Linked DNA regions of Danio rerio. The protein of the gene in region 1 interacts with the protein of each later gene in a pairwise test. Links are inferred from orthologs where the notes say so. Each region holds a gene or a part of one and is shown in the gene's direction. Other genes may lie near its edges.

What was found.
Region 2: the proteins of atxn2 (region 1) and sh3gl2a interact in binary tests that used the Homo sapiens proteins (3 or more experiments, as listed by UniProt). The link is inferred for Danio rerio from reciprocal best matches to the Homo sapiens genes ATXN2 and SH3GL2.
Region 3: the proteins of atxn2 (region 1) and rbfox1 interact in binary tests that used the Homo sapiens proteins (3 or more experiments, as listed by UniProt). The link is inferred for Danio rerio from reciprocal best matches to the Homo sapiens genes ATXN2 and RBFOX1.
Region 4: the proteins of atxn2 (region 1) and atxn1a interact in binary tests that used the Homo sapiens proteins (3 or more experiments, as listed by UniProt). The link is inferred for Danio rerio from reciprocal best matches to the Homo sapiens genes ATXN2 and ATXN1.

Annotation. Positions count from the first base shown.
Region 1 is NC_133180.1:42,584,899-42,593,195, reverse strand, and holds part of atxn2 (ataxin-2), read left to right. Parts: intron 1-1,014; coding exon 1,015-1,048; intron 1,049-1,765; coding exon 1,766-1,825; intron 1,826-1,934; coding exon 1,935-2,006; intron 2,007-2,138; coding exon 2,139-2,289; intron 2,290-8,297. UniProt on the Homo sapiens protein: Involved in EGFR trafficking, acting as negative regulator of endocytic EGFR internalization at the plasma membrane.
Region 2 is NC_133176.1:28,417,965-28,426,867, reverse strand, and holds the start of sh3gl2a (SH3 domain containing GRB2 like 2a, endophilin A1), read left to right. Parts: upstream 1-4,422; 5' UTR 4,423-4,524; coding exon 4,525-4,569; intron 4,570-8,903. UniProt on the Homo sapiens protein: Implicated in synaptic vesicle endocytosis. May recruit other proteins to membranes with high curvature. Required for BDNF-dependent dendrite outgrowth.
Region 3 is NC_133178.1:26,727,013-26,734,833, reverse strand, and holds the end of rbfox1 (RNA binding protein fox-1 homolog 1), read left to right. Parts: intron 1-657; coding exon 658-733; intron 734-5,123; coding exon of another isoform or gene 5,124-5,218; intron 5,219-5,637; coding exon 5,638-5,760; 3' UTR 5,761-5,762; downstream 5,763-7,821. UniProt on the Homo sapiens protein: RNA-binding protein that regulates alternative splicing events by binding to 5'-UGCAUGU-3' elements. Regulates alternative splicing of tissue-specific exons and of differentially spliced exons during erythropoiesis.
Region 4 is NC_133194.1:34,915,833-34,924,129, forward strand, and holds part of atxn1a (ataxin-1a), read left to right. Parts: intron 1-2,696; 5' UTR 2,697-3,008; coding exon 3,009-4,793; intron 4,794-7,083; coding exon 7,084-7,644; 3' UTR 7,645-8,297. UniProt on the Homo sapiens protein: Chromatin-binding factor that repress Notch signaling in the absence of Notch intracellular domain by acting as a CBF1 corepressor. Binds to the HEY promoter and might assist, along with NCOR2, RBPJ-mediated repression. Binds RNA in vitro.

The DNA of each region.
Region 1 (8,297 bases):
GAGGGCCACTAGGTCGAATCTGCGTGTTTCCCGTTACTTTTCGATTGATCCTTCATGTTGGAACTATCTGTCAGTCGCGTGCATTTCCGATGAGGGGCGGCGCGCGCGCTCACGAGGACAAGCGCTTAGTAGAGTGGAAAGTCAGAGAGCTGCACTCTCAACCTTGACGTTTACAAGAGGTTGCATGCATAAGTCTGTCCTTGCATAATGACGTTTGAGTAAGTATGTTGTGTAGAGGTGTGACAGACGAATGTTATTGTCGTGGTTTGTGTTGAGCTGTCATGAATGAAGAAATTAACAGTGGAAACTTTTAATCTAACAGCTGAGAATTGGCATCACATAGTTGCACACTGCATGGGGAAAATGTGATTATTGTTTACGCAAAACAACAAGAGTGATATGACTTGTACAAGATTGTGGGAATCTTGAGTGGTGCAGTGGAGCCTTTCACTGCCTGTAATGCAGCACTTGATTTGCAGCCTGGCTGTTGAAAAATAATTGTCATTCACAGCTTTTATCTTACTAATGTATTTTAATGTACTAGATGCTGATAGTTTTTGCCTAATCTTTGAGCACTGAACTTATTTTGCTGCACATTAGAGATCTTGTTGAAATTTTGTCCAACACATTGAAAGCTTTACAATTCAGAATCTGTCATATGTTTGAGGTATATGGCTGTTAGTGGATATGAGTCACGTACTGTCAGTAAAATGCAGATTTTCTTTTTAGAGTCTGTTGTTTGGGAACTACATAAGTGCTTCTTTGCACAATGAATTGCATGAAGCATATGATTATTTGTCACTCCTTTGTCATTACAGCTTTGAGTGTTTGCCAGTACATGTGCAATCGATAACCCTACTGGAATCACTTGAATTTGTGTTCGTAGGAGTGTGTGACTTTTTTTGCTCTTTAAACCGTGTGTACAGCATGTCAAAGATTTTCTGTGTATGCATATGGTTATAGTTCAACTGTTATAAAACTTCTCAGTCATGCTGTTTTCTCTCCTCCCAACAGAGGACGCAACAATGCCAAAGGACCCTCTACTGCAGTGAGTTTCGGCTTTTCTTTTTTTCATTTATTCATAGTGTAAATTTATTAAATTGATTCGCATACAAATTTATATTCCCTGTTGAATCATATATACAGTGCTCAGCTTAATTGAGTACACCCCGTTTCGAAAATAAATATTTTTATCCATTTCTCAGTAAATATAGGCAATGTAGTTTGGTGCATTTAAACAAAACAGGTTTATTAAACAGATGTATTTATTAAAGTTATATTTTAGTCACCAGACATATTTAGAAGTATAGAGTATTTAGAAATAATACAATTAATAAATTTGTAGGTTGTATTTTTTTCCCGATATTTTACTTGAATTTAATCAAGCAAAAAAATTACAACCTACAAATTTTCAACTTAATTTTTAAATTTTTGCTTCTTGTTTTTTCCTCATTTTAAATTTTTGTTTAATATTTTTCTATAACAGATATATGTGGGTGTACTAGTTTTTTGGGCCTTCATCGTAAGTTATTTTGTTAGATAAACTCCAGATTTGGCTTCAGTACTGACTAATGGCACAAATATAATATTGTATAGCTTCCTGTTAAAATATGAACATAAAAGATAGATTTTTGAGGGGTGTACTTGTATATGCTGAGCACTGTATCAGCACATTGAAAGCTGCTCAGCCAATTAAAATATAGATACTTGTAAATTGTATATCTCTTTACCTCAGGCAGAAATGTTGTTGATTGTTCTTTTTTAGGTGGCCTTCAATGGAGTTTATGCAAACATGAGGATGGTTCATGTTTTGACCTCAGTTGTGGTAAGTATAAATGCACAGCTGTAATTATATTCTTTTTTTAATCAGTTTTACCAAAGCACAACAAATACACTCCTACTGAAATTTCGTTTTCTGGTTCACCACTCAACAGGGAACCAAATGTGAACTTAAGGTTAAAAATGGCCTGATCTATGAAGGGGTTTTTAAAACATATGGCCCAGAGGTAAGGATACCACTTTGTATTGCTGATGTTAAGCATTTCTATCACTGTTAAGCACAAGAAAAATGTAATTCTAGTTCGGACATAGGTGACATATGTCCATTTTTTTTATTGTCGTGGGCTCTTCATTTGCAGTGTGACATTGTCTTGGATGCTGCACACAGGAAGAGTGTAGAACCTAATGCGGGCCCTCGCCGTGAGGATATTGTGGAGAGCATCATCTTCAAGTCCTCAGATGTAGTGGTAGTTCATTTCAAAGATGTGGACCTCAACTATGCCAAGAAAGGTGAGACCTTCTGTCAAATATTCTTGCTACTTTAATGGGCGTTTTACAGGTTTGAGCTCTGTGAAGTTACAATGTAGATATAGTGTAGCTAAACGGTGTTATACTAATTGCAAGTTGCGGAGGAAAATGATCAGTTCACTAATATCACAATTAGTGCCTACATTGTTTTGAAGGGTTAACATTACACCATGGATTGTATTAGCCAATAAATAAGAACAAACAACAGAACGTTTTTTCTCGTGCAATTCATTTTCTATGACTATCTTACTATTATCACTCAATATCGAATAAAATAATTCTATTAGTTATAACTCCCATGATGGCCAGGGTTTTTTTAGAATTGTTTGATTAAAAAGGTCAGTTCAGTATCTTCTTTCATTTTTATGTGATTATTTCAGTCTAACATCTATACCATTTAGAATCTGTGATGGACGTTATGAATATTCAGACAAATTTGCTGCATCTAAAATGGCACACCTTTCTGTTATAGCTGGATAGTATGTCAGAATTCATAGTATTCATAAAGCAGATGAGAAGTACTCTTATAACCTGCTACGTCTGCTGAGATTCGGAAGGTTGCATTTTTATGGACATTTTAGCATCCCATGAGACCATGCAGGGTTCGAAATTGCGACCATTTTGGTCGCATATGCGCCCAAAATTTTATCTATGCAACCTTAAAATATATTTGGGAGCATTTCTGCGAGTGCTTAAAATTGTTGTGTGCAACCAGTTTTTACTGCAAAATGTTCACCACATGCGCGGATTCAGGAGACATTCACGCAGGATGCATCTCTAAGCTCTTTGTCTGCACTTGGAACGCGAAACGCAGCGCTCAGGAATGGTTTAAAACAGTTGTCATGTCAACTTGCTGCAGTAAACAAAAAAGCCAAGTACGTAATGCTTGCCCTGCCTTCGCGCTCTTCTTATTGGCCCACCACTGCTCTAGCACTGAATGTGAATGATTGGTTAATATCAGCTGTCAATCACTCAGTGCCTTCTGGCTTGGGATGACAGAGAGAGCTACTACCGCGAAACATTGTAAAGCGCTGAAGATTAGAATGAAGATAACAGACAGATTTTGTTTTAGAAACCATGGCATCTAAAGTTATAAATAATGACACATCTTACTAGTGATCATGTGCTGAATGTTAATCCACCATCTACACTTTTCCAAGAGTAGAAGACTTCCATTGGCTTCAAGTCCGCTATGAAAAGTCTGTGGGATGGGATTTTCAGGTAACTGTTCGCCACATCTAGCACAAGAGCTTCTGTTTAATTCTTCATATAATCTCCAGATGCTGTCCGCCGTGCAAGGGGCAGCTATATGTCAAATTGAACACCACGTACACCATCACAAATGGGCTTGGACTGAGTAAACTAATATCGCTAATCGTGAAAAGACCGGTATTGCTAATAACATGTATGCATATAATAAGGTACAGTATGTGTCAAAAGCATCAGTGCAATATCAGACAGCACTTGTGAGAACAGCACTGTTATACCTTTAACAGATTTATTCAAGCAGTGCGTGGAGGGCCGGTGAGCGCTCCGTGCTTTGGTCACTCAGTTCCGTTATAAAAATCTATTTTCTTGTGATAACGGGATTTCGTTGAGACATATTTTCCTCACGATTGCATATATATAAAATTGTTTTTTTGCTTGTTAGTTTGATTACTGTTGATTTCAAATGCAATAAATCTGTTTATATAAAACTTGTAGTAACGGTGCTTATAATTGGTGGGTGCAACTAATTTTTGGCTGATGCGCCTAAATTTTTAAAGTTAGGAGCACCGGTGCTACCAAGCAAAAAAGTTAATTTCGAGTCCTGCCATGGGAGAGGATTAATGAATGAAAGAGAAGCAACAAAACCAAGGCTTGCAGGTTCTTTACATAGGGTGTTTTTACATGATGTCATTGATGATGTGTGAAATTCAGATGGAGGGCAGTAAGTGGTTCTGCTATATAGGAATTGACATCAGAACATCAAAATGTTTCTGTTTTATGTTGTTTATCATTGTTTAAATCAGCCAAAATAAAAAATGTCAGACAGCTTTTATGGACTTTTTTGCTCACAAAGGGGGGGGGGGGGGGGGGAGTTCATGATACTAGCTGAAAAAAGGAAGAAAAGGCGGCATGTAATATACATTCATTCAATACATCCATGTGTACAAACCTTTTTGAACGCTATAATTCTTTTGACAGGACCAATAAAGATTTTATACAGGCATAGCCATGTGTATAAATATGTTAATCAGATACAAACACCACCACACTTATGCAAAATCCAGAAGAATATGAATAACATACCCTGCTATAAAATTGCTGCGATGAAATCTCCGTCTTGTTTCGCAATAATCATTTTGTTTACTGGCGATTTGGTGGAATAAACAACCGTAACGTTAACGTCTATATACAGTACGCAGCAGCAGTGAATGTTGGTTGATGGTTAAGTTCATCATCAGAACAAAAAAGAAATGCAACTCTTGCAACAAAACTAGATGGTTATTATTGTAGAGCACTTTTGTAACATTAGTGTAAACTGTGGTGCATTGTGATCTTGTATAATTATAGCATAGAAAACTGAAACCTATTCAATAATTAGTTTATTTCTACAGTTGTGTTGTACCACAGTAACAATATTATTACTACAACAGTTCAAAATTAATTAATCATCTAGTATGCTTCCAAACACTTCAGTATTTACTATAGTATTGTTTCCATATAACGTTAGAGCTTATACAGTACCTTGATGACAGCAAATATATTTTAGTTTTAGAAAACTCAGCCCTCTTCATATGTTGGGCATGATCCTTATTTTATGTGGTTATTTTCTATTAATTTCTCTTTTGAAATATAGGATAACTCGCAAAAATATGGACTTCTGTGTCTCCCATTCAGCTTTTTACTTCCTGCCTCCATCTGAATTTCACATGTCACCAGAACCACATTGTTGAAAACAACCTATAACAACATGGCAGATGTAGTACATCCAAATGTCATTTTAAAAATGCTTTAGGGTTAGTAAAGGGTTAGTTTCTTCTAAAACAAGCCTTCTGTCTTCATGTACTCTCCCTTATGTTGTTCAAAACCCATGAGGTGTTTAATTAAATTTCAGAGATTTCTGTGGCTCTATTTAAAAGTGAATTCAACCAAAATGCAGACCTTTAATAATAAATCCTTATGAATGGAGCTTTTTAATCCAAATGTTCTAAAGAGACATGCTTGCTTTGTACGATAAGGAGATTTAACACTACAGTATGTAATCTTTGGTGCTCTGGTGGTTAATGAAAAAAAGCTAGACGTACTTCTCTCTCTTAATGTTTATGATGAGTCAGGTACTGAACTACTTCTGAGCAGTATCGACTTATAATAGTCCCATTTAGGCCCATTTATTAAATGCTCATCAAACTGATTTAGAATAGCGCTCAGTTTTAAAGATGTATTCATTGTGATATACCGTAGATTTAATAGTTACTCACTGCAGCTTTAATCTAGGCTTTTAATCAAGTAATCATTGATGCATATAAAAACTTGATGCATGAGAGTCGATGAGGCTTACTCATTTGTGCCATGTAGTACATTTGATTTCTTTTCACAAGAACCAGGTTTGTCCTGGTGCGTCTGTGTTTGCTGATCTGTGCGTGTATGTGAATAGAAACTAAAACAAAAGAACGAAGCGATTGTCTTTTCAGAACACCTTGGAATGGTGGCCCGTTAGAGTACATTGCAATGAAAATAATGAAAAGCAAACATAAGATCACAACACATTCACATTAAAAAAGCAAAGAAGATTGCAACACACCAACGGAAATGCTGCCTACCACTAGGGGCAGTGTCTGTAGATTGGAATTTGGTAATTTATTGATCAGTGGCATCCTGTTGACTATTAATTTTACTTGACCATTTTATTAAATCCATAATAAAATTTAAATAGTGTTTTCTTGTTTGTATTTCATAAATTCTAGAAATACATTAGGTATTAAGTTTCTTGAACTGACTGCAATGTCCACATAACCCATTCATAAGCTGGAGCTCATATAAAACTAGCAGAAGTGATTTTGAACAATTCGAATGTATTTGTGATTGATCTTAATATGTGCGTTTGATTCTGAAACAAGCCATGTATTTGACTGACCATTTTGATATGCTGGGTAATTTATTTAAAAAAATATATCAACATACTTGTTAACCTTTGTGCTTCTCTCTAGATCCTCCTGTTTTTTACTGTTCTATTCTGCTACCATCACTTTTTAATATTTGGGAAGAAATAAAATACAAAAAAGCTGCAATCGAATTAAACAATTCAACCTATTAAAATAAAAATAATACTTTTTTAAGCATGTTTAATTAACATTGAATGACAGAGGTGGTACTTTAAGGGGCTGATCACACTGAACGAGCTTTATGCGTTTAGAGGTGCCTTTTTGAATGGTTTACTAATGAACGCGAGCGTTTTGTGCGCTGCTTATGGACTCTGCGCTCCTCTTGTTTTAACCGCCTGCTGCACCTTGTGTTTTTTCTCTTGTGCGCTGTACGCATGCAGTTGAAAAAAGTCAACTCTGGGCAGAAAAAGCGTGTTTCGTCACTCGCGTCTGTTTCATTCTCCAATCAAATGAAAGCAGGGGTGGGGTTTCCGTGTAAAACATGCTAATATAATACATATAACATCTGTGTTTTTGTCTGTTTAAGCAAGCCTAATGCCGAGTTCAGACTGCATGATTTTCAAAGTAGTTGCGTCACAGATGTTTTCACACTGCATGACTATCTGGGGTAGCTTTCAGTTACTGTTGTGTTTACACTGTAAGATGGATCTTTGACAGTGGGTTTCACACTGCATGACTTCAAAATAGGAAGAATCACCGATAACTTTGTCTCGGTCTGCAAACTACATCTCACAACCAAACACGTGAGAAGTGACATGGAAACAACGCAAGGTCATGTAGTATGTCTTTTGCTATTAATTACATAATGAGAAAGAAGCCTTTAGTGGGGTAGAAAATATGCTTATTTTGCTTATCTGGTTTTTGAAGGAATTTAACAATTTCTCCTCAACTTTTTTCTGTTTTAACCCGTTAGTGGTCTTGCTTAGATGACATGTCAAACAGACACAGGTGTTCCTGCCAAATTTACCAAATTTACACTAGTTTTCAATCCAAATAGACCAAAAAGAAGCACTTTTACCTTCTCGGCCAAGCTCCAGCTGGCCTGCAGATACCTCTACTAGTGGATGCTGCTCTGTCATTGGCTGTAGGTAATCGCCAATGTTATTTTCAATGAGAACATATTTCACATGGCATGATTTGAATTGCCGACAGCTCCAGATATTTAGCATGCCATTCTCTCAGATTGAGGGCCCTATCATACACCCAGCGCAATGTGGCGCAGGGCGCGGCGCAATAGTCTTTTGGTACTTTTAGCTCGGCGCAAGGGTCATTTTGAGGTGTTGCGCCACACTGTTTAAATAGCAAATGCATTTGCGCTCAAATGTGCGCCCATAGGCATTCTGGTCTAAAAAAGCAGGCGTGTTTTGGCGCGTTGCTATTTTGAGAAACTGTAAATAGTCTGATGGCTTACACACTACAAACAAGATGCAGAGCAATACGCAAATATCTTTACATATGAAAAATATATAATATCCTAAGGATATATATATATATATATATATATATATATAAAATAAGGATATATACAGGATATAGATATAAATGATTAAAATATTACAAAACATTTTAATTTCTAGCCTACATGAAGATTTAAAAACCACAGCCTTAATTTCTTCATCTCGGGAGGCTTTTTCAGTTCATTTAATTTGCTTTTGTATAATGTTGTCATTATTATTAGCAGTATTATTTATTATATCCATATTTATATTTGTTTTATTAAAAACAAGCTTAGATTTGTCCACCTGTCAAATTTTAAACCATATGGGGCATGGCAGGTGTATTTGGAAATAACTTAGTATTTTGACCACACTTGGTTGTTATTGTTTATTTATTAGTTTGCTG
Region 2 (8,903 bases), on another chromosome or scaffold:
TGCAAATATGATCCCCGTTATCCTGAAAGTTTGGACTGGGTAGTGGAATTTTTTCCCATTTCAAAACCTAAAACCCAAAGGGAGAAATGCCAGCGTGGACCAAGCTCTGTGAGGGGCGCTAAAGGAGCAGAGTTAAATTGGTTTTGTTTTTGATATTCCTGACATATTCAATAATAGATAGCAATGCCGCACACACTTTTTACCCTGAAAAGATCTAAACTGTGTTTCCTACAAAAATGCAAAGCAGGTTATGTTTCCCAGCTTTCTTTTTCTTTTCGCTCGATATTATGAGCACTGCTTCGTTTAAGCCCTCGCCATAGTAGTCATAGTAATAGCAATCATATTTCCATCTGTTTCAAGCTATGAATATTTAAAATTAACTTACATATCAACAGAACAAACCAAGATGTCATCACAAACTGAGCTCTTGAGATCAATATACTTCACCCACAGATGTTTTCCAGTCATTTATAACCCTCATGTCCATGTCAGAGCTACAATTCACTGATGTTTTTGTCGGTCTTTTAGAGATTTAGTCATTAGTAACAGCGTTATACGAGGTTAGTGTTTGCTTTTATATTTGGTATCTGATTAATATTTGCTGGTAGGGACAATCTATTTGTTCACTTCTGCTATTTATACTTTAATCGGCATTTCAATTTATTTATTTTTTCCACCTAACAGCAAATTAGAATAGAAACTATATAAAGAGCAAACAAACATACTGACAGTTATAGGTATTGTACATTGTTATGGGTCAAATATTCGGCACAAATCCATCAAATTTCCCCTTTCTGCCCTTTTCTATAAATGATGTACAAGCACTGTCCATGCGTGTTTCCTCGCTGGTTTGTAATGCTATATTTCATTGCACAACAAAAGTCTATCAGGCTTTTTGGCTAAAAAAAAAGGGGGAAATAACGGTTTAAATAGTTATTACTAGATTATTTTTAAATGTCACCTATCCTGCTGTGCATGAACTAAGCTGTTGAATGGTCAACGTATGAGGTAGCTAGGCTAACCTAACTTCAATTTTGATTCAATTATTCTCTAATCGGTTGCCTATTTTGTCATGAATGTCCCCCTGTAATGCATACTGCAGTCCTTTTTTGTCTGGCTTTCTCAGATATCTCACCTCTTCACCAAAAATTACTAATTATATTTCTGGCAATGTCTGACACCCGAGCATACATACTGTAATAGACATGACAGGCACGAAAGCTTGACAGGCGTAGCAACAGTAACTAAGAAGGGCGGGGCTTAGCGATTGTGGACATTAAATCAGGTTTATTTTGTACAATAGCATAATGGACATCCATTCAACAATGCACATTAACTTGTATCCTGCCACATTTGCTGCAAGTAGACATGCAAAAACAGTGCAAACTTAAATGTGTGTGTGTGTGTGTGTGTGTGTGTGTGTGTGTGTGTGTGTGTGTGTGTGTGTGTGTCATAGATATATACACTAGATGTCGCCTGGCCTATTGTTATCTATTGGACGGAATGCGTCGATAGCGCCGCCATCTTGCTACAGGGTAGCGCTCCTTTGAAATGAATGCGGGACCAAGGTACAGTGGAGGACTGTGGCCATCCAAAGCCAGAGATATACACATATATCTATGATCGGGAGTTTTTCTGGATGTTAGTGTGTAATTTTTTTTTCTAACTACGAAAAATTATAATTTTACATCACTTTTCTACATTGATGGATCAGTGACCGCACGGGCATTCCTGACAAAAAGCTTGTGTTTGTGTGTACAGAAATGTACTATTCACCCTCCCTGTTAAATTTAATATAATCCGTGTCCTGAAATACAGCTCCTCTCCTGCTTTCACTTCTCGTACTGACGGAGAGAGCGATTCGTTTGTGAATGAATCCCCCGAACGACTCTTTCACTAACGTTAGCCGACAATAAAACAAGTTTCTGGCAGCGCAGCATCTCTTCATATTTCTTTTGCATTGTTTGCTGATTTTAAACAAAATATTATTTTCAAAAAAACTACCATAAGCCGAGTGTTTAGTGCGAGTTGGAGCTGCTTTGCCGTATGGTGAATGCAGTAAGTGGCTGTCATCATCAATAACGTTACCTGATTAGCACAAAAGTTCAGAACATTCAAAAACAGAAAAAAACGTAATATTACCTATGAAATGTTCTGCCTTTGTGCTTTGTTTTCTTTGTTTGCTCGTTACTACACCCGTAGACAGCGCTAAAGTCCCGCATCTTCACGTAATAACACTGTCTTGACTAGTGCGGTTGAATGACATATGTCCTGGGAGCACTGTACCAATGTGGCGGCGCTATTGACGCATGCTGAGGGTCCCTATGCGATATCTAGTGTATATATCTATGTGTGTGTGTGTGTGTGCGTGTGTGTGTGTGTGTGTGTGTGTGTGTGTGTGTGTTTGTGGATTGCAAATTGTGGATCATTGCAGAAAGGCTTGAAAAAACTCCACAACAAATACATCAAATAATCATTGGAAAATGTCCTGGTTGACTCTTACTGTGATATTTTAACTAGGACTTTTAACTGTGTCTCTGCTTCATTTGTGTCTGTCTTTGTCACTGTGCTGTTTATCTGATGTGACACAGGAGAAACAGACAGGTATGGTGGAACGATGGGCAAGGAGAACCAGCTCATTTTCATTTAAATGGGACCTATTGTGCAAAAATCCATTTTATAAAGGGTTTGAGCACAGTTTGCAGCAACAGTGTGTGAATATAGCCAGCAGTATGATAAAAATGTATTTATTCCATTTTTTTTATATTCACACTTTTCTCTGATCGCAATATTGACATTTTTAGCAGAGTATAATATATGATCTGATGTTTATTTTAAGCTGAAACATAACATAGACTTCTCCTACATCAAATAGGATAAAATAGGAGCTCTTTAAAATAAAGTGTGACCCATTGTTTTATTCTACATAAACGACTATAAATAACCTTTTTTTATTTATGTAAGAGTGAAGGCTTGAGTTTCCTGCTACATTTTTTCCCAGGTACAGTTTGACATGATGCACAGAGACATCTGCTGAAACTGATGTATAATGAGCCATTCTAGATTCTGGAGTCCATGGAAAATACTTTTGCCCTGACATAGGTAGAAGCTTGCAGAGCATTTCAACTGACTGCCTTAAACCACCTGGATCAGCTAAATGAAATGGCCGAAGTGGATACCTGACCTCTGTCAATCCAGCTGCAAGTTTGCTGTCTGAGCTGTTCCTTATGACAGACTGCTGTGGATGAGCACTACAAGGGCAGAATGACAATTTTAATATTATGCAAATAGGTAATATTAACTGCTGATAGATAACATAAACTTGAAATACATAAGATGTCATAGCAGTGTTTCACAAAACTGGTCCCTATTTTTTCTAATAAGCAACTAAAAAGTTCTGTCTGGTCTTTTAACAGGTAGTCATGCAAAATTTGCAGAGATGGGAGTACTTTGTGAGACACATTTTTAACCACTGTATTATATAATTGATTAAATTGTACTGTTTTATAATGTTACAAATTGTACATGTTGTACATGTTGTCTTAATGTAACACTGGTGGTTACTGTACATTCCTGTTTAAGAATGATAAGTAATTTTAATCTTTTATGAAGGTTGATGTTGCTGATTTCTTGGAATCTTTGTGTGCAGATGTTGGCTGCAATGCCTATGCCTATTACAGCAAGGCAACAGGTTTATGACACTGGGATATCTGGACACACTTTACAAAAAGTTTCCATTAGTTAATTTTAGTTCACGTGTTTACAAACATGAATGAACAAAACATGTACAGCATTTATTAATAATCAGCATTTTCATAATTTACAAATGCATTATTAAAATCCAAAGCTGTGCTTATTACCATTAGTTAATGCACTGTGATCTACCTTTATTTAAAGTAACTAATGTTAACAAAGATAAATACTGTGATAAGCATATTGTTTATGATAGTAAACACATAAACTAACTTAAACTATTGAAACCCTATTATAAAGTGTTACCAGATAGCTTTAGGACCATCCAACCACCTGATCCAGAAAGTGTTGGCTGACAATCTAAATATATTAAATCACATCCCCACTATAGAGAGAGAGCATTTTTTACGACAAAATTTCAGTGTTCCCTAGAGTCCCCCTGTCTGCCATTTTTCTTCTTCTTAATATTATTATTAGTATTGATTATTATATATATATATATATATATATATATATATATATATATATATATATATATATACGGTACGGTTTCTCCCCTGACCTGTCTTGAATGTACCTGTTGGCGTAACGCCTTTTTGAATTAACCTTGAAGGTTCCCCTGGAGGAGGGGCTCAGCTGTAATCCGTGGGGAGGCGGAACCTGACGCGTGATGTCACAGCCTCGTCATCATCAGCTGCTATAATCAGCCTACTCGTGTGGTGATTCCCAGTGTACGAGGGTTTATTTCTGAACGTCTCTCATCCCCGTATCTCTGAACATATTTACATCTCATCCAGGGGTTAGAAGAATAGCACTAGTCCAATCGGAACCATGTCTGTAGCGGGACTGAAGAAACAATTCCACAAAGCCACTCAGGTAAGATGCAACGGTACATGAATTCAGCATTCTGTTCTGTTGACCATTACGAGCCTGAAAATGGGTTTGCTGCAGTGCTACAGCAGACAGAACAGCTTGTGTCCTGAATCGTAATGCGGCTCTTCACTCTGAACAGCGTGTGCTTTATTCAACGCACCGTAATATAAACAAATGAAGGCACTATATGTTGCCATCGGGCTAGTCGCTGTCAAAGCATTTCGTTCAGATGTTAGGATGAAGGATGTTCTGTGTTTTTTTTCCGTGCTCTTATCAGCACCGTTGAAATGAAAACGCGTGAACATCAATATTTTAAGATGCGTAGATAAGGGCTGTTACATAATAGCTCATATCCTTAAATTGACCTCGATGCCCTCTAAAGCAGTCGTGATGCTGTGACACTTTAAATCCACGATGCCAAAGCCACCACATATAGGCTTTAGGTCCAATTTTATGGAATTGGAATTTTTGCCATTTTATATATATATATATATATATATATATATATATATATATATATATATATATATATATATATATATATATATATATTTTATTTTATTTTTATTTTTTTTCATATTAGCCCCCTAAATCTGGTTGAATTTTAATTTCAACTATTATCATTATTTTCTGTGTATGTGTAAATTTCTGTATGTTTGTGTCAGTGGACATAAAACTAGATTTAATCTCTGGTTACCTTGTGAGGCTGCATTACTCTTGGTTCTCCATCTAGTGTCCTTGTTTAAAGATTCACCTTGCATTAATAGAGGAATGAGAGATGCATGTCTCACTGTAATTTTGTGTAGACATAATTTGGGATTTAAATTGTGCCATTTTGAAGTATACAATCTCAAACGCGGAAAAACATGACTCCAGCATCCCTTTACATTGTTCTTAACATGAAATTCTTTGACTTGCATAGCTGCCTGACATTAAACAACATAATCTGTCTCATTCTGACCAATCGTCAGGCTGTGACATCATCAGTGCACGCTGCAGAGTGGAGAGGGTGGCATGACTCAGAGCTGCTCTGTAGAACAGATGGTTCCTCAAACACACTGCTCCATCTCACAGCTTGCTGTGTACTTTATACACAGCCTTCTTGCAGTCGTGACAAAATATAGTGCCTGCTCTGTGAAATGCAGAGGCAGGTTTAACTAGTTTTACCTCCATTATTTATTCTTGGAAATTTAATTGCATAGTAAATACTTGCTTGTATTTGAACCATAGGTTTGCCCATTACTAACCAAACAAAATAAAATGTAATAAAAATAAAAACAAAAACTATAGCATTCAGATTATATTCAAATTGTGTACCTGAATAGGCCATGAGAGACAACAAGCATTTGTTTATAAGGTATTTTGTTCATGAGCACTTAGTTTTAAAATGACAAACAAAAAAACAAAGCATTTCCAGCACTCTAACACTTTAGTTCACACCATCTGGCTTTTTAGCCAATTGTGATTTGTTGCACAAAACTGAGGTGAGATTTCATGAAAACTGTCTTTGACTATTCTGTTTGGCTGTATGTAATTATGCAGAGATTTTGTAAGTGTCTTATGAAAGTGATTTTTATTTGAGTATACACAAAGACCACACACACACACACACATTCTGTTTTCATCAACTATGAATTTATTTTGAGCCTATGTACAGAAAATGTCATTTCTGTTTTATTACATGTAATAGATGAAAATTATGCAATCAGAGAACATCTTTCTTGATTTTTTTTACCATTGGGTGTTTTGAAATGGTTGATCACAGTGTCACAAATTCGTGTTGTTGTTTTTTTCATTTGTGAGCAGTAGTGTACTTGGACATGTAGAGATTTCTTTAGCTTCTATCTCTAGGTTTCTTTGATGTAAGGCACTATTTATGCATCACAGCGCCTGTCCCAAACATGGCTGATGTTTTTTTCTGCTTTCCCCTATTACAAATTCTGGACGTTGCTTACTGCAGTGCACACATTTTTCTGTTGAAGTTTTTGTCAGCTGTACCACATACTTGGCAGGCCAGTGTTTTTAAAATGACCCTAAACAGTGGGACATTTTACCACCTAAAGAATGAGATGTTTTTCCCTTACAAATATTAAAATATATTGTTTTATTGTTGTGTGTTTTAGCACATCGCTTCCTGCACTTGAACAGTATGTTCAAGATTATCAGTAAAATGCTTATCAAAAATGCTAAGTAAAATGCTAAGTTATCAGTAAAATGCTAAGTTTTTAAATGCTAATCAAATTGTGAGCTGTCTATTGTCCATCTTCACAGAAATGAAGACTATTTCAAATTGTAGAGAGCAGATTATACACCCTCCTAAAATAGTACTTTCAGGATGGAATGCCTTTTGTAGTGTTAAATAGGTGAGCCTGTTGTAAGGTGAGTACATAGTCACTGAAAAAAACATGCACTGGCAAGCTAGTTAATAGTACAGTGCCTAGTGCAGGTAACTGGTGATCAGCCCCTATCTGGCCTCAGGAGGAGATGGCTCCGGTTCAGAAAATGCAGCAGTGCTCAAAATGGGTAAAACATTTGTTCCAGCTGATTTACCTCAGATGGCAGATTTAGTTCCAGATGGCAGAGGGGCAAAAGCCTCTGAGAGAGAAAGGCCCTGCACAGTTTGGTAGAGAATAGGGAAGTAGACATTTGTTAGTTTTAAAGTGCTTTCACCCATATACTAACTTATATTATTTGGCTATAAATATAGTAATTATAACAAACGATGTGTTAACGGTTAACTAACTCTATCTATTGTTGCAACACCAAAACATAGAATATTCAAATTTTATAAGCTCATTAACTTTATATCATAAGCCTACTATCTTTAAATGATTTCCTAAGCCTACTTTGGTGATAAGCAGTAGTTTGTTCTTTCCTGGAACCAGCTCATTTGTTTTGTTCTAATCTCCAGCACCTACAGGATTTAAGTCTATGCAGAGTCAGTGTTAGAATTAATTATTTCAAATTTTGCATGTTCTCATGTTCAATTTTAGTACAAACAGAACATAAATATAATTTTTTTAGTCTTTTTAGAAGACTTTTTATTTTTATTCTCAACATGCAGTATAAGAGAGAATGGTGAAAGATTTTCAATTTCATGTTCACATGAAAAAGTTGATATCGATAAATGGTGATGCAGAGACACCCACTTTCATGTGAATGGCTGATTTTTCACATATAGCACAGCAACTACTGATTAACAAATACTTGGTTAAACCTTATTTTAAGAGTTTAACTAAGGATTGGTTTTGTTTATAAGATGCAAAGCAATGTGTGCTCATGTTCAATTTGTAAAAAATCACGTTATTTTTTCAAATATCTTACTTTGATTATATACAGGTACTCAGCTAACATGAAAATGACTGTCATATTACCTAGTTCCTCTGAAAGTCCAGCCCTCAAGAGGCTCTGATTGGTCATCTAACATAATATGCCTGTAATTCACAGATAGGCTCCATGTCATCAGTAAATCATCACGCCTCCACAAGCACGCGCTTTGATTCTGTTGTGTTAATAGTGTCTGAGTAGGAGTAGTGGTTAAAAGTATTTGTTTGAGCCTTAATCAGACAAAAAATTAAAAGGATGAACTTCATGCCAGCTCTCTAAAATAACATTTGACGAGTCTCTGTAATGAGTGAAAACAGGGGGTGGCTCCTTTAATAGAGAATTTCTATTTTGTGTGTGTGTGTGTGTTTGTGTGTGTGTGTGTTTGTGTGTGTGTGTGTGTGTGTGTGTGTGTGTGTGTGTGTGTGTGTGTGTGTGTGTGTGTGTGTGTGTGTGTGTGTGTGTGTGTGTGTAAACAGTCTGTAGACTCATGTAACATGAGAACGGGGCCGTTTTAAATTTTTTTTTTTTCCCTTTGATGCTTGAATTAAGTTATTTTTCTGTAATATACAGTGACGCTTTTAACAGAAGAATAAAACGCAAGATGTGGAATGTGACCCCTCCCTTTGAGCTTTGATGGATGAGCTTTTTCTGATAGAACACGAGTTAGGCAAACTATCCTGTATTTTATCATCTTACTCAACGTTACATGTCTTTTACATATATTCGGAATAAGCATGTGTAATTAATATGAAACATTCACTTGTCTTTTGTGAGTTCATTATTTGAAATGTAGAATGTAGGGAACGCGGCCACATAGAGAGACACTACAGCGCTGATGAAGATTGTGGATGTTTACATGGGTTTGACTGATAAATATGAATTTGTAGCTAAATTGTTGCCAAATAGAATTTCCCATTGTTTACATGCGTTTTTATGTTCTTGCTACAACATACTGTTAGCACTAGTCATTTTTAACAAATCAAAATACTTACAAATTGTGGCTCACAATA
Region 3 (7,821 bases), on another chromosome or scaffold:
GATAAACATCAAATTTTCTTTTCTTTTTTGTATTTTTTGGATGAACTATCCATTTATTCCCACTAAAACATCCTGCAACATTTTCATCAAGTCAGCCCCAAATGAGAATAAAGAATAAATGATCTGTTTAGGATTTTTTCAGCTCAAGTACTGTGAAACATTGATCTTTGGTCTGTTTGTTTTGTGTTTATTTCATCCTGTGATGTATTTTTTTGCCTTTTTGATCAATATGCCCAAATTAAAGTACTAAAAAATTGAAGGGCTTTTTTGTGCAAGCTCATTGAACTCCAAAAAAATTCCTCCTGATACCAATTTGCCAAAGCTTGTACATACAAACAGATGCTGTATAGCCGTAAGTGCTGCAATCGCACTGTTATATCAATCCAAGTGTAGTCTTGCACAAGCGGCCCTTCAACTTTCAAACGGTGATGTCTTCCTCTAAACTGTGCGGCATGACTGCAAGAGCCGTGTGATTTTCTCCTCTGACTTGTCATCTGATTGTCATTCTCCAAACACTCTCAAATCATCACCATATGTAGTTGCTTCAGTCTGTGGTGTCGTATAGATGATTGTATGATATTTGTGTTTGTACATACAGTACAAGGAGCGTTTTTCACCGTACCACCATAACCTGACCATCTCTTTATTTCTCCACAGTTACGGACGAGTTTATGCTGCCGACCCCTACAACCACGCACTTGCTCCAGCAGCCACATACAGCGTTGGTGCCATGGTGAGCACACATTTATTTCTCTACCTCCTTTCTTTCTTTTTTTTCCCCTCGCTCTTTCCTCATTACTCCTTTATTTATCCCTTCCCCGCTCTTTTCTCGGTGCACGCTTGTCATGTACGCTCATTCTTTTCCCTTTTCTTCCCACCTTTTCCTCCTGCATGGATTTTAGCACTGCTGACATCTCCTCACTTAAACTTAATTGAATTTGTCTCTTGTGCTAACGGCAGCTGAAATGCCACATTAATCCTCCCAGTAAACGTGATAAATGTCTTAATTTCTTGGCAGTGTAGTGCATGTTAGTTATTATATTTCTAATTTTGTGAATATCACCTAGCCGAGCGCTCCCCTTAATGGAATAATTAGTCATTTTGATAATTAAATCCATCACCTAAGTGGTGCTGTAGCAACAGCTAAAAGAGGGAGCGAGTTTGAGGAAAGACGGCGTGATGAAAGTCTCCGGTTGCCCATTGCGACTTGCCACTTGTGTGTGTTTGATCACAGAAATGTCCACTTTGTGTACAAAATGCATTTTGTAAAGATCAATTTGACTATTTTGTCTAGTTTTTCTGTAAAAAAGCTTGTTTTTTATTATAATTGTAATTATTTTAGATTATATTTGATTAGTTTGTTAGTTTATTCTTCAAAAGTGTGGTCAAACATGTATAGTTTATATAAATCTAATAAGTCTCATATTCATTCATTCATTTTCCTTCAGCTTAGTCCCTTTATTTATCATGGGTCATTACAGGGAATGAACCGCCAACTTATCCAGCATATGTTTTACAAAGCGGATGCCCTTTCAGCCCCTTACAGTACTGGTAAACACCCATATGGTCACTTATTTAGAAGATCAGTCATTTGAAGAAGTATTGAAAGAAAACAAGAACAAACCAGCTCAGAATATGGATGTTTTTGTGTATGAATATGAATGCGGGATGGCACGGAGGCTCAGTGGTTAGCACTGTCACCTCACAGAAAGACAGGTTGTAGTCGTGGCTGGACCATTTGACATTTCTGTGTGGAGTTTGCATGTTCTCCTCATGTTCGCGTGGATTTCCTCTAGGTGCTTCAGTTTCCCCCAAAGTCCAAAAACATGCGCTATACGTAAGTGAATTGGGTAAACAAAACTGGACATAGTGTGTGTGAATGCGAGAGTTTATGGGTGTTTTACAGTACTGTGATGTGGCTGGAAGGGCAAAAAACGTATCCTGGAATAGCTGGTGGTTCATTTCCCTTGGGGCAACTCCTGATAAATAAGTGACAATGCCAGGGGTCTCAAACTGCCGGCCCGCGGGTCCTTTGCAGCCCCCTTCCTCCTCCCTCCGCCCCGCAACTGACAGAAATATAAAGAGTTTCGGCCTAACAAAACTTATATTTTTGAATCACTATCTGTGCAGTTGCATATACACTTGTGGTTTTGACCAACCACCTACTGGACATTTAAGGTACTGTACTATATATTTGGGTTACATTCGGTTTCTGTCGGTGTGCGGTTGAGAGTAAATCACATGCAGATTATTTCTGGGGCTGATTTAAATGTTGTAATATATGTCTGTAAGTGCTCTATTTTTACTAAAGCTATATTTTTGTAAATATTCAAGGGCCATTTGATTATAATCCATTTTATAGCACCTGTATTTTGTTGTACAAACACTTCTTCATGGCTTACACGCTATGCTGGTGGTGTGAATATGATAATTTTGCTAATAATCGATTCAAATGGTCTCATTTAATAGATTGTCTTGATTCGCATATTAAGATTTGAATTAAAAAAAAGTGCATTAATAAATTTTACTGCTGGCGAAATTGAACATGTTAAAGTAAATGTGAATAAATACATACTTTTCCCATCTTTGTTGTGGTTTTACAAAAAATAATGATATTGAGAAGAGCAGTTGCTAGTACAGTCAATAAAGTTACCCAAACTGCATTTAGCTGTTTCACACTACATGTTAAACTTTTGCTCAAGCAAAAATTGATTTTGACATAATAATAATTATTATTATGCCTATTATTAAATTGTATGTTTTCCATATCAATTTAAACTACCCCTTCAATATGTACAACAAGAAACAAAAAGAAGGAGCTTTGACACTCTGTGGAAGAATTTCTGAGTGCATCAGTTACATCAGGTTTCCACTTTTTTTCTGTGCTAGAATGTTAAAACGGCCCTCCTGTGAATTGTCAGTCACTGACATGGCCCCCCGCCCCCGCCGATTTGAGTTTGAGACCCCTGGACTAAGCCAAAGAAAAATGAATGCATGAATGTGTATGCTAAATGATTTCGCAACTTTATTGCACCCATATTTTAACATATTTTACAAGTTATTAGAAACATTAAAGTAGACCCTTTACTTGAGTTTAATTAGCTTTTTCTGTGTTTGTAAAATCACTTCTGTAAATTTAATTTAATATGAAATTGACTCCTATACTCAGTTAGCAAATGAAAATAAATAAATAACATACTCAAGCTCTTGAAGGCTGCGCTTAAACTGCAGATCTTTATGGTCAATTCCGATTTTGTGGCTGTATCCATTTTTTTTGATGAGCCGCTTACATCATCATTTAAAAGTTACTCGAATCTGATTGTCTGCATTTACACTGCACGCAATGACAAGATGCAATGACCAGAAAAAAAAGAAGGGACACTGACTGACGGCTGATAATAAAAGAGCACCCTTTTCTCCATTCATGTGTTTAATCTGTAATCTGTTAGTTGTTTTACTATAGTTCTCATTGTTATCCATCTTCTTTTAATCTAGGCCTTTTTAAACCACTAGGCATCTTAATGTAATGTCCATGGCGTGATTTATGCATGTGATGCAATAGTTTTAAGGTGCGTTCAATTTCTTGCATCTCTGCGCAGACCGATCAAAATCTGTCTTAAAGTGGTGCATGAGATCAGACAATTAATTCAGTCGGTGCAACGTTAGAAGAGCAACTGCAGGAGCTGTGATGACGACACTGATATTACACTATTGGCTGAGTTCAGCGCATAACAACAACCATGTGTGTATCGGGTTTATTATTAGACAACTTCTTTTCACTTTTTATGCCATCTCTATCTTGTATATGTATCATGCTTATTAAATGACAACTAATATTTGACTAGAGTAATAATCTTTTGTTAAATAATTAGTTTATAAAGGCTGGATTGTTTGCATAGGTTTATTTTCTGTCTTTTTTATACAGACTATAGCTCCATGACTCCAGACTTTATAGAGCATTCAGCTCCATGAAGAATTTAAATTATAAATTGCAGTGAATAACCTAAATATTAACTTAAATAAGTTTTACATACTTTTAATAAAATAATTATTATAATTAATCTCAAAACCCTAAGGCTTTCTTAACAAATTAAGGTAAAGAACTATTTTATTTAATAATTATAAGAATATTTATCCTATATGGTTATAAAATATTTTATTTGCTGTCAAGCCGTTTACGCACAAATTTTAAAGGTGACATTGAGGTACCTTGCTTTTTCTGTTTAAAGAGTTGCTCACTTATTTTGAGCTCACTTATTTTATTTTTTTAAATGCTTTCATTATCCAAAATTATTTTAATCATTGTTTAAGACGTAATCAAAACACCTTGTTTTGAGTTTTACACAAATATATAATGGAAAGTTTTATATCTACATTTACATTTAGTCATTTAGCAGACGCTTTTATCCAAAGCGACTTACAAATGAGGACAAGGAAGCAAAGGTAAATAAATGTAAACCCATTTTTAGCATATTCAAACAAAAAGTATTAGCCTAAAGAGTGATGTTTAAAGTTCTAGAATTTGTGCTTATTGTTTTGTATTTAATAGGCCTATTCATTTTTATGTTTATATTTCTCTCTCCTTTCCCCTTATTTCTCTCATGCATTTGTTATATAATTAATTCATAGTTCCCTTATTGTTTAAAAATTAACTAGTCGGTAGAGACTGTATTCTGTTTTATGTATACTGTAAATCTTTTGTTGTTATACAATACAATATGTATTTATAAAGCACATTTAAAAACAACCAAGGTTGACCAAAGTGCTGTACATAGGAGTACTAAAGACAGAGAAGAAAACAGAATATAAAAGAAACATTTAGCAATTAAAAGCAATAATCAATGATCTGTGCTATTTAACAATATAAATGCTTATTTTTTGTTCTAGTATATGAAAAGTAAGGTTTGGGACTCTACTGAAGTCTGTTCCGAGCATCACAGCTGACATCATTCGATATGGTTTTTAATGACGCACGATTTGCGACTCGAATTGATAGGTGAAAATCCGATCTACTTGTTTACACTACAGACACGAGGGCACGGATCTGATCAGATAAATTTCCACATATGAACAAGGCCTGAATCTGATTTGAGTAAATCAGACTCCATTCGATTTTTTTCCAGCTTACACATACATGGGCCATATCCGATCTGTGCCACACGGGAGAAAAATTCGGAATTGGGTCACTTGAATCATGCAGTGTAAATGCAGCCGAAAGGTACAGTTTCAACAGCAAAATTTATCAAGATTTCACTAATGTGACCACAACGTCATTTTTTCTCATATTTATCTTTTGTTATTTAAATGTTATATAATTATCTTGTTTTAAGGATATTTACTGGAAAATCTGACCATTATTCGGATCTCCCTGCATCCATGACTTTTTCTTTTTTTATTATTATTATTTGCTCTGTTAACTCATGTACATTTCTTTCAGCCCTTTTGCGTTTTTTTTTTTTAAGTAGCTAAATGCATCTGTTCTGGCATGAGCTGTGTCGGTGTGCTTGCTGCATGATGGAACGTGATTGGTTTTCGTCCGCGGGGTACAGTATGTACAGCAAACAGTCTGAATGCTAGCATAGGTCTCATCTGAGCTGTGTCAATTAAACATGTCCAAACCCGTGGCTTCTCTTGCAGAATGCTTTCGCACCCTTGACTGATGCCAAGACCAGAAGCCACGCCGATGATGTGGGTCTCGTTCTTTCTTCTTTGCAGGCTAGTATATACCGAGGTGGATACAGTCGTTTCGCGCCATATTAAAAGCAAACAAAAAATGCATTACAAAAAATCATAATAAAAACAGACAAAAAAAAATAAACATTTCAAAACCTATTGAGAATCTTCCTGTGGGGGTAAAGGAGGAGTAATTCAGAGGCCTGGGTATTGCAATACATGCAGTAGTGCATCATTTTAGCATCTCTCAAGAGAGAGAAGACAAAAACGGATATTTTTCATCTTATACCTCAGATATTTTGTGCTGTGTATTTTAATATTGTGGGTTTTTAATTTCTAAAGATTACATAGATTGTTGGCTGTAGAGGTTTCTGTGGTGATCTAGAGAGCTGCTAGATTTTAAAAAGACGAAGAAGAAAAAAAAAAGAATAATAAGATACAAATTGTTAGGGCTTTATCATGTAAATGAGTTCTGTATGATAAATATACGAGTCACTTTGGGGTTATCATATTTTGTAAGAGTGTAAGTGACTAGAGTCGTCCAGTGGTTTCTGCTTTCGTTGACATTGCCTTTACGTCTTTGTTTTGTTCTTTTGGTTTCAGTTGTTTTTGGGTTCTGTGGCGTAGAGGACGAGCACGCAGGGGATGGTGGGTACGAGTAGATACGGGCGTCTGCGTGGTAAAAGGTCAGTGTAGTTGCAGGAGCACAGCAGAGACACAGAGCCGGTCAAAGAGACCACGGAGGTATCGATTATTTAAGCTGTCTTATATCAGTCATTACTCAAAGCCAAAGGTTATGTTCCTGGGGTGTTCCGTGTGTAGATTCCAACTATACATAGCAGCTCGTAGAAACTCCCCGAAAAGTTCACCACAACAGTATTTTACTGTTTAACTATTATCTAGTCCCTAAGTCCAACCCCTCGCTAGTTTAGGCCTACCACGAGATGTTCTTTTTATATATTACGGTACTTCCAGTACGTCGATTGATATAAATGCTGACTTTTATAATACGGGAGAGACAAAACACGACGAAAAAAAAAAAAACGAAAAAAGAAAAAAAGACGCCGACCATAGCGCCGGTTCTATTTTAATTTAGTTTCTTTTACCTTTTGTTTTGTTTAGTTTTTTTTTTTTTCTCAAGAGTTTATTTGTACAAGCTGAGAGTGGGAAAAAATAAACTAACAGTGTATTAAATTTGATCTGTGCAGTGAAAATGTTCTCTTATACGACAAACACAACTGTATAATGTTTTAGATTTAGTGTGGTAGACCAACTGTTAGAGAAAGGTGTCTCATTTTTTATGGAATCATACACAGATTTATATCAACACTTTACAAGTAATGCAATCATTATGTAGATATAATCATAGTATTTTTGTCAACTGTACAATTTTGCACACACGACCTGCAATTTTTTCATCACAACTTCTTCTCCTCCTTCTCCTCCTCCTCCTCACTTGTCTGTTTTCTTTCGTTTTCTCTGCTTCCTTCGGGTGTTTCGTTTTGATATCATTTTTAATGTGACATCCTTTGTACTATTATTTTCTAGAACACAGCCTTTACACTTTGAAACTGTTTGATTATCAAGAAACTGAGAACTATATGACTTGTGAAAAAGATATCTATATGTAAATAGGAATAATGATAACTATGTCATTTACAAGTGCTACACAAGCAAGCTGTCGAGGTGTTCTTGAAGAGTCGCAGCTTGGCTGTGCATATGCGAAGACTTCCCTTCATGTTGTTTACAAGTATACCTAATTAGAGGTGTTTGTCACATATCTCATTTTTCTTTATTTTGTATTTATAAAACGTTTCGATTGCATAAAAATACAAACAAAAGAGCAGCTCCAATTTATCCGGCTGCAAAATATCCTCTTGTGTACTGTGTGCGTCACATCACACAACTTGGCAAAAATATCTTACCCACTGCTGTGATTCTGCTCTTTCTGCTTTAAGTACGTGTTGTGGACAGGCTTTCTCCTTGTCATTGTATGTGCATGCACTATGATCTGCATAACAATAACCATCAATAAAGTTTCTCAAGATAACGGGAACGGCTCTCGGAACTTTCTTGTATTCAGATGACGGAGAGCGTTTGTCCTCTGATCTGATTTCATTGCCTGAAATTGCATTGCGATGCTCAAGG
Region 4 (8,297 bases), on another chromosome or scaffold:
AAACAGGCAGATATGGGCTAGACTGCAGCCAAAATTAATTGACTTACCAAGTAACCAACAAACGCATCATATTGTAATGATAACGGAGTTACTATATTTAAAAAGTAATGCATTACAGTACTTACTGTCAAAAATAATGCATTATAAAAGATTATTAAAGATGTCAACCTGCTCGCATGTACCCCTAAACACAATGATGGTGACTGTGAGAGAACAGTTTTATAAACGTCTGGCCAACAGCCTTCTTTACAGATAGCACCACCGTGACATCTGTAATTTGTTTTGTATTTGCCGCAGACAGACATCAAGTTGTGCTTGCACAAACTCAAACAAAAGACTTGACATGATGAGAGTGGCATATCACTTAATATGACCCCCTCCAAGTAATTGAAATCTATCTGAGTGGTCGTGCAGGTGGTACAGGCTAGTGTTGTTATTTTGTACTGTGTCCTCCTGTCTGACCCCTGAAGAATGAGAAACATATCGAGGAAAGAAGTCACATGCCAAATAAGGTGTGGTTCTAGAACACACCCACCGAATGTGGAAACGCCTTGGACCAATGGTAGCTCAAAGGGTGTTCAGGAGGCAAAATGAACTCCCCCAAATGTTTGTTTTGGTGAGCTGTTTTAAACTGCTAAAATAAACTCAACTTTACTGCGACCGGATTTTGTTTGAAATTATTTGATTTCATTTGAACTATAGTTTATTGAGGCCAGCAAAAGGGTGTTTACTCTGTTGTCAATGTGGATCCTAATGCTCCATAAGGATCCCAAAATCTATTGCCACTTCTTGTAAAAGAGTAATCCTGGACAAAATTCCCTTCATCTCTATCACCTTCTCTCTATAGCTGGTGTGTGGTGACTGCATTGTTGCCATTGCTGCCATTGGTCATCAAGGTTTTGGTTGAGAAGAGATCCCCTGAGCGCTCTGTAAAGGGCTTTGGGTCACACTATATAAAACACTATATCAGGGGTTACCAACCCTGTTCCTGGAGAGCTACCTTTCTACAGATTTTAGCTTCAACCCTGGATCAAACACACCTGAACCAATTAATTATGACCTGAAGCAGATAGGTTTGTTAGATCATGGTTGCAACTGAAATCTGCAAGAAGGTAGTGCTGGTTTAGTGACCCCTGCACTATATAAATGCTTTATTCACTCAATATTCAGTCATACCCATACAGAGATGCTACTGACTTCTCTTGTGTCCTTCTCCTGTTCTCTAGGTTTTCATTCATACTCGTTTAAATGTATGCTTTTTGCATATTTCAGTACATGTAGCTCAGAAATAAGCATATTCTGATGTAGAGAGTGCGCTTTGATTCATGGGAAGCATACATCACCGCAAGCATTCAAGCTTAAAACCTCTCGAAATGCCTTTATAGTAAGTTCTAAAGCCATCTGTGTAATATTGTCATCAACCATGCACGATTACTTAAATCATTAATTAAAATGATTATGATAATTGGGTTATTAACATGCTTGATTGCCCTTGTCTGATGCAAATTATGGCAAAAGGAAAATACTTAGAAGAGAGGTTGGGGGTTGGTGCATAGAGAGATGAAAAGATATATGAGCCAAAGGGAAGGAATAAGATAGTAGGGGTGAAAAGTGGAAAAAGAAGCAGGAAACACTGATTGAGAGAGTGCTGAGAATAAACACCCTGCTCAGCATCAATAGCCGTCAATCACTGATGTTCAGTCGTTGTGTAACCATTCTACTCTACTTTGACTTAAGAGCAAACACAGAGGACATTCTCCTGCTGTTTGTATTCAGCTAAGGACTGCTGTGTCTACTTTAAGAGATGGTATTACCTTTGTGAACCTAAACACAACCTCTACTATGTATTAGTATTTCCTTTTAGTGTTAGTATATATATATTATTTCCTTGTGGTACATACGCTACTTCAAAGAATATTATAATAGTACCATGTCTAAAGAAGCATTGTTTTAACATGTCCAAACAGTTGTAGTACAGTCTTGGCATCATATAGTAATACAAAGATACTTGCATAAGTCTCAGTACCATGGTACATGTCCAAAAAATTAGGTAGTACTGTTTGGTGGTACTTTATGCTATTTTTAGTAGTGTCCAAATTAAAGGGAGGGTTTCGCTTACATCGGTATCTGCCTCCTCTTTTATAGCACTGCGACACTTGTTAAATCATCTGGGCCTGTTTATCATGCAAAACCATCCTCCCACTAGTGCTGGACAACAGACGCAGCTGAATGGGTCCAATCAATAGAGCTCAGGGAGGAATGTCAAACAAGCCGTAACACTGCACAGCATCATTGTTTTGTCACGTGTCTCCCCATACAATCTAGAGTAGGAGGAAGAGGAAAAAGAAACTGTGCTAGCTTTCTTATTTGATGGACAATTTTTAACTTAACATCCAATATAGAGAGACAGTTCTAACTTTCCTAATATACTTATGCATTTATCAGTTTGTTGAGGCATGTTATTTTACAATAAATATTTGTTGAGCTGCTGTTAAGATAGTCCTCTGTAAACGACTGCAAGCTATTTGTCCATTCAGCACCACTGTGGCATAGAAATAAATCCTGATGCACAAAATATTTACAGCCTTCATTTTTTGGTTTCTCATTTTCTTCAGTTTACATGGCTTTATCATCTAAAAGCTGCTGAAATTATGTTTGTGCATTAAACCTGATTATGTTTCTTTATTATATTTCAGGTTCTTCCTGCAGTCCTGGAGACTCTCTCTCGGAAGGAAATGATTCCACATGAATTGCATGGACCGCTCTCCCGCAGCAGGTGTGACTTCAATTGCTTAAGACTGAAATCTGTGTCAATCCGACCATAGGCACAGGACACATCCCCTCTCACCACCACTCTCCTCTCTACCCCATTCCCATACTCGCTCCAAGCCAATCAGTAGGAGGGCACACTCTGTTAGCAAGACAAACGGAGACCAGGAGGGAGAGGAAAAGAGCCAAAAAAGGGGAAAGAAAAATCCGGAAAGAGTGGTTCAAGATTTTCAGACACCATGAAGTCAAACCAGGAGCGGAGCAATGAATGCCTGCCCCCAAAGAAGCGTGAAATCCCAGCAAGCACTCTGCCCTCAGAGGAGAAGCCCATGGTGATGGCGCCTGCCAATGAGAGCCAGCGTGGAGGGAACCTGGCTTGGCTTGCCAGTCTGGCCAGTGGGCATGACAAAGGCCGGCTGCACACCAGCACGTCTGCAGAATCAGATGGGCCTCAATATAAACCATTGTCAGCCACGGCTGAGAGCACACCTTCCTCGTCCACACACTCAACCAGAGCTCTATCTGCAGTGACCACCATACCTGCAGTGTACACATCACCTCTCTCCCATTCTCCTAGCGCAATCCAGTACACACCCCTCCCTCACAATATACACTTCATCAACCCTCCTTACTCTGCACCATACGCTGGCTACATCTCTCCACTAGCTCCCCCTTTAGCTGCCACCACTACCACACAACGTGAGATTTATGCCAGCTCCTCCAGTTCTCCAGCATCCAAAATTGATCAGCACCACCAATTGGGCCGTCCTCAAGGCCTGGTCACAACTGACAACACCTCTTCACCTCACTCCACTCAATATGTTCAAATTGCTGGTTCTCCACTAAGCATATCCCCTCGAACTGTTTCGTCACCGCATACACACTTGCCCCTACATTTACATCCTCACCACACACTTCCCCTTAGTGGCCCTTCACAGGTCTTAGTCCCATACACAGAAAGTCTTTTACCCAAGAGGGAGGAGATGAGGACCAGGGAGTTGCTGAATGGAGAGCTGGAGAAGGACAGACGTTTTGGTCCATCTTCTGAGTCCAGTGCAGGGAAGCAGGGCAGCACTGCCAAAGGGGGTTCCTCTGCCCAGCAGCACCAGATCCACCAGCAGCAGAGCCCACGTCACTTTGAAGCTCGACATGTTGTGCTACCTGCCGAGTACACGCAGGACAGCACAGCCATGAGGACCTCATTGGTGCTGGTACCTAATAATCATAGCTCCACTAGTGCTGATTCTGGAGGTGCATCAGACAAGCTGCCTCCCTCGACATCCCACCATGAAAAAGGAGGGATTTGTGCTGGCAAACCTGTCTCCCGCAGTTCCTCCTTATCTTCCTCCCTTTCATTTGCTCTTCCCCCTCCACCTGTGGACAATCTTAAGGGAGCAGTTCCAGCGCAGTCTCCTCATGCAGTCATTCAGACCACACTTAACAGCACAGAGTCACTCTCTCTAAGCCTCCCCTCCACTAATTTCTACTCCACCCAGCAGCCTATCATTGGTTACTTTGCCGGCACAGGGCACCAGCAGCCTCTCAGCTACCACACCACCTTACCCCAGCACTTGGTCATCCCTGGAACTCAGCCGGTCATCATCCCAGTAAGTGGAACTGAAGCTACCGCTACATCAACTGCTGCACTGCCCCATGCTTTCGTCACCTCAACAGCCCCCAAAGTGGAAACTTTTGAATCTCCGGCTCCATACCCCCACCCTGCCACAGCTATGGTTCAAGCCCAGTTGCATTTGCCTGTGGTTCCAGCACCTGCTGGCCTGCTGACAACTCCACCCCCACCCTCAGCTCCTTCAATGCCACCCTACTTCACCAAGGGCTCCATCATCCAATTGGCAGATGGGGAACTGAAGCGGGTGGAAGACCTGAAAACAGAGGATTTCATTCAGAGTGCTGAGATTAGCAACGAGCTGAAGATTGATTCCAGCACTGTAGAGCGCATCGACAGCAGTCATACAGCTAACTTTGCTATAATACAGTTTGCTGTAGGAGCGCAACGCTCACAGGTGGGTTCATAAGTTTTCTATTTAACATTGCTGCTTGTAGACACATCTGAGTATCTGTTTTTCTTATGCACAAAGATAAGCGGGGAAATAAACTTGAGATTGATGACTATGTGATATTAATCAAACACTGTGTACCATGTCTGCACGTGGTAGTAAAGGGTTTATTATTAAAAAAAAAATCTAATGGAGTTGACCTTTGCCTAAGTTTTAGGTGTGTGTACAGCAATTATATTGTCCTCCATATATTATATATTGCCAATCTTTATGAACCATAACTTCCGTTTGTTTCTTGCCATCTCTGAAATTAGCATTTTTAACGAGTTTTTTTAATGTTTATATGAACATTCCATAACTGTTTGTTATTAAAGGTGCAGTAGGTGATTGTCTTCAGAAACACTTTTTGTTGTACTGGTTGAAAGTCTCTTTACAGTCCAATAGTAATGATTACAGTAAATAATCTAAATGTGTTTATATGTATTTTTATATTCTGGTTAAGGCATAAAACTAAAAAATGTTCATCCAATTAAATAGAGTCAGACCGACATCTCCCATAATTCCGATAAGCAGGTCAGACTGTCTGTCAGCAAATGTAGATTCGGACTTCTGCGCATCTGTTCACGCAGATCCGCCATTAGGACGTGCCCGTCTGCATAAGCGGCCGCGCGGTCACGAGACGGACCGGTAGAAATCAAATGCTTAATTGAAACTTTTAAAAACCTGAATCAATATTGGAGTTACTTTAGCAGGCTGGTGGAAGGACGACATCATGGCTGAAGTATTACTGTTAGACATGTAATGTTCTGTTTTAAAACTATTTTAGTCAGGCTAAGCTTATGTTAGATTGTGTTCTGCTATGAATGACTTATATGCACAGACGTGTTGTTCAGACCCTGAAATCTCCCGGTGAAAGATTGATGTGATTATTTTCAGTTTCATAAGGTCCTTTTACAGCATCGATGATGTAGATCAGGGGTCACCAATCTCGGTCCTGGAGGGCCGGTGTCCCTGCAGGGTTTTGCTCCAACTTGCCTCAACGCACCAGCCTGGATGTTTCAAGTATACCAAGTAAGACCTTGATTAGCTTGTTCAGGTGTGTTTGATTAGGATTGGAACAAAAATCTGCAGGACACCGGCCCTCCAGGAACAAGTTTGGTGACCACTGATGTAGATTTATGTTTAGTTTAACAAGAAAACATCAGTAAATAGCGCTATTTTGCCTAGCCTACTTTATTGAGCTGAAGTTGCTTTTATATTCACATTGGGTCATTTTTGAACAATGACAGCCTTCCTATACTGTTTACCATGCTACTCTGAATAATCTGTCTGAAATAGCATGTAAGTGTGGCTAAGTAATAAATGTAATTCCCGCACAGCACTGGCACTGACTAACTGGCGAATTACATGAACTAGTGGGTTGTCTGTCTGCTGTTGTAACGCGGTGCGCGCGCTCGCGATTTCAGGGGGTGTAGCTTTGAATCACAGTCCCTCCCCGCCGTCCCAATATAATATGCTAAGGGGTTATCGTTTTGGCAGATCACCTACTGCACCTTTAATTATATACAGTGCATATTTGAAGTATATCATTTACATTAGAATCCAAATTGCAGTTATTTGAATCATGCCATTTTATGAGGTGTGATTACAGTTGAAATATCTTGGCAAATTGGCCAAATATTATGACGGTTTCATAATATGCAGATGGATTCCAAAGATGGGTAATTTAATTTCATGTTTAACAATTGTCAGTTAAAAATCTTTACAGCATTTGCAATTGCCCAGGGATCTTTTTTTTTTTACTTTACATCTTCCGTGCAACTTCATCATCTCGCTTTGAATAAGCATATGGTAGTCATTAAGTTTATATTTTTATATGCTGTGAGAGTGTGAATGTCCCCTTATATGAACTCCACCTGCACTCAATCAGTGTAAGTAGATGTGGGGCAAATTGGCAGCTGAAATCATCTCCCTGTTCCATAATCCCTCCCCTGGCTGTCCCCATGGCATCTTTGTTTAGTTTGTGTGGGATTCACTGGCAGAATTGAGTCATTCCTTATTTCTGCTTCCTTCTGTTGTACTGTGAGTGGGCTGTATGAAAAATCTGCTTCATTTGTCTGGGAGTTGAGATGGGGCCACCCACTCGAAAGCAGTTCTAAAGTCTGTCATTTCGAGAGGCACTGATTAACAGATGCTTTTTAGCAAAGACATTCATTCATATCATCAGGCATTTGTGCACGACTTCTACTTTCGGAAGTCATTGTCCTCTCTTTTTGACTCCCTTTTTCTTTTGCAGGTCAGTGTGGAGGTACTAGTAGAGTATCCTTTCTTTGTGTTCGGCCAGGGCTGGTCATCTTGTTGTCCGGATCGGACTACTCAGCTGCTCGAGCTGCCATGCACCAAGCTTTCAGTGGGTGACGTCTGCATCTCCCTCACCCTGAAGAACCTGAGGAACGGTTCCATCAAGAAGAGCCAGGGGCAAGTCTTGGATGCACCTGCACTCGGTCCACCTCTTAAATCACCAAAAGCACTCTCAAGTGGCGCACGAGGGGGTGTTCGGCACACAGAACAGGAAAATGGACTCGGGCAGTGTGCAGATCAAGGAAGTAGAGGCGGTCAAGGCAATAGAGAAAACGGAGAACTGAGGTTTGGTGAAAGGGACAACTGCAAAGCTCCAACACTCACAGAATCAGAGACCAGCAGTAAACCCACAGGTCGAAAAAGAAGGTGGTCTGCCCCTGAGGGTCGTAAAGTAGAAAATCCAGAAGGAGAGCCCCCTTTAACGTTCCCTAAGCCTTCTTTCATCCCTCAGGAGGTTAAAATCAGTATCGAAGGCAGATCAAATATTGGAAAGTGAACATGCGTCGGACTGTCTGCTTTTAAAATTGCAAAATTTGCCCTCAGAATGTTTTTAATTGTTCTGTTGTCCAGATTTCTTTTCCTAAAGGCAAAATTTACTCAGTATCTATGTTATCACATCTAACATTGTAATTGAGGAATTCAATTTTACACAGGCAATTGGTGCAATTCAATTGATTGGTCAAATTCAAGGTGGATGTAGAGCAAGGTGAGAAGGTTGTGAGACGGCATGTTATCCTGAAGGCTCCGGCATATAAAATTACTCACAGCTGACAAGACGTCTCTCTAGTCTCTCACCTACAAAATTCTTTTGGCTTACAAACGACACTTAGTGGCAATTAAAACATTCGCTTGCTGAACCTAAAAATGTTAGTAAGGGAAGATGAACAAGTGGTGTGAATGTGGTGGCAGAACGGAAATCACTCCTCCACTGGTTGCAGGAGTTTACATGATGTCAGCCATCTTGTTTAACTGTGACTACAAGAGACTATCCAAATCGATCCTAACAATATAGAGCAGTATGGTCAGCACAGTTAGACTAGCAAAGATTCTGTTAACGTTTATTGAAGTGCAAAAAGAAGTTTCCAAATACTATGGTACAGGCCAAGAGAGATGATGTCATTGAGCGGTGCCAGTTTGCTCCTCAGAAAA